Macaca fascicularis: one gene and its partner. The protein of the gene in region 2 interacts with the protein of the main gene of each other region in a biochemical or structural test. Links are inferred from orthologs where the notes say so. Each region holds a gene or a part of one and is shown on either strand. Other genes may lie near its edges.

Region 1 (3,749 bases), on a different chromosome or scaffold from region 2:
CTAGAGACTATCAACAGGAGATTTTTGGCTGGGCAAGGTGGCTTATGCCTGCAATCCCAGCACTTTGGGAGGCCGAGGCAGGTGGATCACCTGAGGTCAGGAGTTCAAGACTAGCCTGGCCAACATGGTGAAATCCCATCCCTAATAAAAATACAAAAAAAAAAAAAAAAAAAAAAATTGCTGGGCGAGGTGGCGCATGCCTGAAAGCCCAGCTACTCAGGAGGCTGACATAGAAGAATTGCTTGAACCCGGGAGGCAGAGGTTGCAGTGAGCCGAGATTGAGCCATTGCACTGCAGCCTGGGCAACAAGAGCAAAACTCCGTCTCAAAAAAAAAAAAAAAAAAAAAATAGGATGCTTTCAATAAATATTTGTTGAACGAAGGAAGGAGTATCAATAGCGTCAAATGCCACAGACTTCTAAATCCATCCATAACACAGTTTCCAACAAGGATTCTAAATTATTTGCTCTCAAGAGAGGGACACCATTTCCTCGCTTGTAAAAAGACGCAACTTAGTAGGGTCGTAAGAGTTTTTTTTTTTTTTTTTTTTTTTTTTTTTTTTTTTTTTTTTTTTTTTAAACGGAGTTTAGCTCTTGTCGCCCAGGCTGGAGTGCAGTGGAGCGATCTCGGCTCACTGCAACCTCCGCCTCCCGGGTTCAAGTGATTCTCCTACCTCAGTCTCCCTAGTAGCTAGGATTACAGGCGCCTGCCAGCACGTCCAACTAATTTTTGCATTTTTGGTAGAGATGGGGTTTCACCATGTTGGCCAGGCTGGTCTCGAACTCCTGACCTGAGGTGATCCGCCCGCCTCGGCCTCCCAAACTGCTGGGATTAGGCATGAGCCACTGTGCCCGGCCGTATTAGTATTAGTTGAAAACTAAGTTAAGCCCCTCATCCCTGCTGAATTTGGACAGACCGCGTTCTAAAAATCTCTTATCAACCTAAATATGCTAGTTGATAAAGGAAATGATTAATCAAGATTGTCCTAAACACTACAGCCCTCCTTAAGCTCGCTCTAAGGTTCTAAAACGACCAAAAAAGGCGTGGACCATGCGGTTAAACTCTCCCGGTCAGGCTGCCTCAAGAGGCGGATATTAACCTCTCAGGACGGAAGTTCCGGAGCCTTCAAACGCTCGGGGAAGCGACTCGGCAGCGGACCAAGATGGCGGCGCCCAGTGAGGGACAAGCGTTTGCCGTAGGGGTTGAAAAGAATTGGGGTGCAGTTGTTCGCTCCCCAGAAGGGACCCCCCAGAAAATCCGGCAGCTGATAGATGAAGGGATTGCCCCGGAAGAGGGAGGCGTGGACGCGTGAGTTCACGAGTTAGCCCTGGGTCCGGCATTGGAAGATTGGAGAAGGCTTGGGGAGGGGGTGGCGTGTCGCGTGGGGGGTTCCCCTCGGTCGGCGTCTCGGGCAGTGGGGATGGCTTCTTCTTAGGATCTGAAAGATACTCTGGTTACTATGTTTGATCGGCTTTGATCTTCCCGTCGGGATGTACCGGATTCCCAACCGCAGCCGAAATTTTGTCATCGGACATTATTTTTGGAAGGAAAAAAAGAGGACCGTCAACTGAATGAGTTCACCTGACTTCTCTTAATTGGGAATTCTTAACCTTTTTTTGTGCCGTGGACCCCTTTGGTTCTCTGGAGAAGCTTATTAACTCTCGTAATATTTTTAAATGCTTGAAGTAAATTACATAGGATTATAAAGGAAACCAGTTAGATTAGAATGTAGTTATCAAGATAGTAAAAGGAAAAAGTTATGCAGTAACATTCTTTTTATTAAAGAGTTCATAATATCTAGTAGTATGTCTTGTCAACCGTAAAAGGTATTTGAAAACGTGCAACCACCGTAATGTGGGAACATTATTTCCATAGATGACAAATTAACGGGTACTAATACTACTATGGTGTTTTTACCTTCATTCATAATTGAAGAAAATGCTAAATCTTGTCATTTAAAGAGAAATAAATGTCATTTTTACCTATCCAAGTTTATGGATGCTGTGAATTTTTTTTCTTGGGGAAAAAATTTTTTTTCCCACACCGCCTTGAGGCTTTCTATGAATCTCTGAGAGTTTTAGAATAAGTTTATTTCTTTTGAGCTATAATCGTTGATGTAATCCTATTTTTATTAAAATAATGTTTGTCGCCTGGCGCGGTGGCTCATGCCTGTAATCCCAGCACTTTGAGGAGGCTGAGGCGGGCAGATCACGAGGTCAGGAGATTAAGACCATCCTGGCTAACACGGTGAAACCCTGTCTCTACTAAAAATACAAAAAAATAGCCGGGCGTGGTGGCCCGCCCCCGTAGTCCCAGCTACTCGGGAGGCTGAGGCAGGAGAATTGCTTGAACCCAGGAGGCGGAGGTTGCAGTGAGCCGAGATTGTGCCACTGCACTCCAGCCTGGGCGACCGAGCGAGACTCCGTCTCTGAATGAATGAATGAATGCATGCATGCATCCTTGTCTTTCAGCAATTCCCCGAATTCCCCGAGCACTGTTGAAATGCCTTCCACTGAAAATGAGAGAATTGCTTTGCTGAGTTTTTTCTCCCTGATTTTTTTTTTTTTCATGAAATTTCCTGAAGATCTTTACTTTGATTCGAATTTTCTAATTGGTTCTTTTTTTTTTTTTTTTTTGGAAGGAGAGGGTATCAAAGGTTCCTGCAGGTAGAAATATCAAAATTGTTTTTTCCGCTGTTATGAGTCGAATTTCTGCCAGGCGCGGTGGCTCATGCCTGTAATCCCAGCACTTTGGGAGGCTGAGGCGGGCAGATCACGAAGTCAGGAGTTTGAGACCAGCCTGACGAATACGGTGAAACCCCGTCTGTACTAAAGATACAAAAAATTAGCCGGGCCCACGCCCAGTGGTGCGCAACTACTCGGGAGGCTGAGGCAGGAGAATTGCTTGATCCCAGGAGGCGGAGGTTGCGGTGAGCTGAGATCATATGTACCATTGCATCCCAGCCTGGGCTACAGAGTGAGACTCCGTCTCACAAAAAAAAAAAAAAAAAAAAAAAAAAGTCGAATTTCTGAAGAGATTCAAATTGTATAATGCATACCTGAAGTCTTTCTGTTTACTAAAGTTATGCAAAATACTTATGGAGAACAGTGAATGAGTGAGGAGAATAGTTTACTAGGATTAGTGGAGCCCTGTAGAGGTAGAAATTGACTGAAGTTTAGATATGGGTAAACTGTAAAGAGTTTTGAATGCCAGACTGAAGAATTTGGATTTTATTTAGTAAGTATTATAAAACCATTGAAAATAATAACCTGAGGAATGACATGAGTAAAATGATTTTTAGGAAGCTTAAAATCCAGCGTTGGTGTGATTTATGATACAATGTGTAGAGAAGCTAGATAGAAAACATTTAAGCAGAGGGTACTGTGAAAAGTTTACCAACAGTTTTGCCACTTTATATTAGGAAGGACACGTCTGCCACTTCCCAGTCAGTTAATGGATCACCCCAAGCGGAACAACCTTCATTGGAATCTACAAGCAAAGAAGCCTTCTTTAGCAGAGTGGAAACATTTTCTATATCCTTTTTTAGTTCATGTGAATTGCACTTTCTGCCTGCTTCTAGAATTCCTCCAACGTATTACACTACTTACTGTAATGTTTTAAACTTTAGAATCAAACCTTGGTAAGAAGTTATATAGGAAAGTCAGCATCCTAATGTGTTATCACTCAGAGGGACAGTTGAGGTTATCTAACCTTTTCTTTTTACAGAAGAAAAAACTAACAGCCTGAGAA
Region 2 (3,649 bases):
CAAGAAACAGCACATTTACAGGCTGGGCACGGTGGCTCATGCCTGTAATCCCAGCACTTTGGGAGGCCAAGGTGGGTGGATCATGACGTTAGGAGATCGAGACCATCCTGGCTAACATGGTGAAACCCTGTCTCTACTAAAAATACAAAAAATTAGCCAGGCATGGTGGCACGTGCCTGTAGTCCCAGCTACTCAGGAGGCTGAGGCAGGAGAATGACGTGAACCTGGGAGCCGGAGCTTGCAGTGAGCCACGGCACACCCCCTGGGTGACACAGCGAGACTGTCTCAAAAAAAAAAGGTATCCTCCAAAGTTAGAACACAACTTTAAAAAGCCCTAAAAAGATGGCAGAAGAAACTCAAAGCAGAAGGCTACTCCTGGCATAGAAGTCTTGCAGAAGAATCCTATAGAAAAAGGAGAGGCCCCAAAGGAGCAGGCAAGAGATGTCAGTGATGACATTAAGACGATGCATTAAAAACAACTGGGGGCTGGGCACGACTGCTCATGCCTGTAATCCCAGCACTTTGGGAGGCCGGGTGGGTGGATCATCTAAGGAGTTTGAGACCAGCCTGGCCGATATGGTGACCTCATTTCTACTAAAAGTACAAAAATTAGCTGGGTGTTGTGGTGGGCACCTGTAATCCCAGCTGCTCAGGAGGCTGAGGCATGAGAATCACTTGACCCGAGAGGCAGAGGTTGCAGTGAGCCGAGATTGCACCACTGCACTCCAGCCTGGGCAACAGAGCAAGACCCTGTCTCAAAAAACCAAAACCAAATAAAAATACAAAAAATTAGCCAGGCATGGTGGTGTGTGCCTGCAATCCCAACTACTCGGCAGACTAAGGCAGGAGAATTACTTGCTTGAACCCAGGAGGCAGATTGCAGTGAGCTGAGACGGCACCATTGCCCTCTAGCCTGGGCGACAGTGTGAGACTCCCTCTAAAAAAAAAAAAAAAAAACACACACACACACACACACACACACCAAAAAACTAGGTAAATGTGATAACGGTATAGTTGACGCTACTATGTTTATGCTGCCATATAGAATACTTGTGTTTGTAGGAAAAGGGCAAATGCCATTAAGAGAAAGTTTCAAAAGTGGGATCAAATTGAAGTGAACCAAAAAGTAGCTTTTGAGTGTACTCCTTTTGGGCACAAATAATTTCACCAACAACTGGACGCACATCAGCCACACTAACACAAAATGCCTTGTGTTAGGGGTGGCTGTAGTCTTTGAGTATATTCTACATTCTCATCCACTTGCTGACCCATTATTACCTAAAATGCAGAGTTTGGGACTTAACCATTCCAAATACGGTGGAGATTGCATATATACATATCAAATTCAATCTGTGGACTTTCCTTCAGAAAGACCGATAGTAGTATCCACCCTGACTTCGAACTTTCCTGCACAAAGTGGCAAATAGACTCCATTGATTTAGTGACTTTTTATTTTAGGTATTCCATGAAGGAGAATTTGAAAGTGCGATCTCTTAAGAAATGCTGCCCAAGTCCTGCTTGAATTATTATGAACTATTGATAGAAAAGACTTTCATAAAGTTAGATGCAGTTTAGAAAAAAAACTAATGATAATACTGACCTCAAGTTGTCTCAGATAAGCATAAATATCTTTCACATATTCACTACAAAGGTTTGGATCGGCTCCATCTTCTGCATCCACATCATTTACTGCAAGAATTACATCAGAGAAAGCCTGACACAGGTCTTCTTCTGCAGGGGCACATCCAGATGTTTCCATTGGGCTTGGAGAGGGAGTATCGACCTTAAAACAAAGAGATCTCTTGAAACAAGAGCAAATAGGAGTAAGCACTATAGTTTGGGCTTGAAGGTCAGGTTATTGGTACCAACTCAAGATAGTGTTCTCCTGAATCAACATACAATTCATTTCCTTAAAGGAAAAGTATCTTTTCATACTTATTCCATTTCTTTTTAGGAAGTGATTAACATCCAAAGTGATCATTTGGGTTGGGCGTGGTGGCTCACGCCTTTAATCTCAGCACTTTGAGAGGCTGAGGTTGAGGCCAGGAGATCAAGACAAGCCTTGGCAATATAGCAAGACCCTGTCTTTGTTAAAAAAGAAAGTGATCATTTAATTACTCAATTAAAAAGAATGAGGTCGGGCATGGTGGCTCAAGCCTGTAATCGCAGTTCTTTGGGTGGCTGAGGTGGGAGGATCCTTTGAGACCATGAGTTCGAGACCAGCCTGGGCAATATAGCAATAACTCATCTCTACAAAAAATTAGCTGGGCATGAAGGCAACTGCCTATAATCCTAGCTACTCAGGAGGCCAAGGTAGGAGGATCACTTGAGCCCAGCAGTTTGAGGATACAGTGAGCTATGATTGCGCCATTCTGCTCCAGCCTGGGCAAAAAAAAAAGAGTGAAATGCCAACTCAGAGTGAGTCAGTTTAAAGTTGGAAGCAAATAAATTCACATTCTAGACTTTCCTGCAAAGGAAACTGAGAAGTAATTAATCTTTATCAGCAACATGTGAAGTTAATCCAAATAAAGGACAGTTCAGTCTTTAGTCTTTATTTCAAAATATAAACTGCTTCTCACTACTCAAAATAACATAAATTCTATCCTGACTACTAAGGATTAACTTCATTACCATTAACCACTTCCTTCAAGCTCCCTTTATCCCATTGTTCAAACATTTATTGAGCCCCTTCTTCAAGTCAAACTCTACAAGGCATTGACTTCATGGCATCCTCAAGGGACTCTGAATTTAGTAGACAAAGTAAAGAAATAAGGTCGGGCGCGGTGGCTCACACTTGTAATCCCAGCACTTTGGGAGGCCCAGGTTGGCGGATCATGAGGTCAGGAGTTTGAGACCAGCCTGGCCAACCTGGTGAAACTCCCTCTCTACTAAAAATAGAAAAAAAAAAAAAAAATTAGCTGGGTGTGGTGGCGGGTGCCTGTAATCCCAACTACTCAGGAGGCTGAGGCAAGAGAACTGCTTGAATCCAGGAGGCGGAGGTTGCAATGAGCCAAGATCACGCCACTGCACTCCAGCCTAGGTGACACAGCAAGACTCCGTCTCGGGAAAAAATAAATAAATAAGTAAAAATAAGACTGAGACTGGGCATGGTGGCTCATGTCTGTAATCCTAGCACTTTGGGAGACTGAGACAGGTGGATCACGAGATCAGGAGTTCGAGACCAGCTTGGCCAACATAGTGAAACCCCGTCTCTACTAAAAATAGAAAAATTAGCCAGGCATGGTGGCACGTGCCTGTAGTCCCAGCTACTTGGGAGGCTGAAGCAGGAGAATCGCTTGAACTCAGGAGGCAGAGGTTGCGGTGAGCTGAGATGGCATCACTGCACTCCAGCCTGGGCAACAGAATGAGACTGTCTCAAAACAAACAAAAAGACTGATTCTAGGAACAGGGGTGGAGATGGGAGAAGTTCAGGAAAGCTTCAGGAGTTGGTGCTTGAGCTGTTTTCAAGGATGAAAAGGTTATTAGCTAAATGAAAGGGTAGGGAAGGCATTCTTACTAAGTGGGAAAGCAAAGGTAAGAATCGGTATGGACCTTTCAAGAAAGCATCATGTAGTTTGATATGCCCAAAGACCATGCTGGCTACATGTTTCATGTGCTATGCCCAGAAATTCAACACTAAAGCAATAGT

What was found.
Region 1: of the proteins of CCNB1 (region 2) and ZC3HC1, one has a biochemical effect on the other in vitro, tested with the Homo sapiens proteins (3 studies listed by BioGRID, with this or other methods). The link is inferred for Macaca fascicularis from reciprocal best matches to the Homo sapiens genes CCNB1 and ZC3HC1.

Annotation. Positions count from the first base shown.
Region 1 is NC_088377.1:171,558,416-171,562,164, reverse strand, and holds the start of ZC3HC1 (zinc finger C3HC-type protein 1), read left to right. Parts: upstream 1-1,153; 5' UTR 1,154-1,161; coding exon 1,162-1,307; intron 1,308-3,420; coding exon 3,421-3,532; exon of another isoform or gene 3,533-3,749. UniProt on the Homo sapiens protein: Required for proper positioning of a substantial amount of TPR at the nuclear basket (NB) through interaction with TPR.
Region 2 is NC_088380.1:74,832,791-74,836,439, reverse strand, and holds part of CCNB1 (G2/mitotic-specific cyclin-B1), read right to left. Parts: intron 1,784-3,649; coding exon 1,601-1,783; intron 1-1,600. UniProt on the Homo sapiens protein: Essential for the control of the cell cycle at the G2/M (mitosis) transition.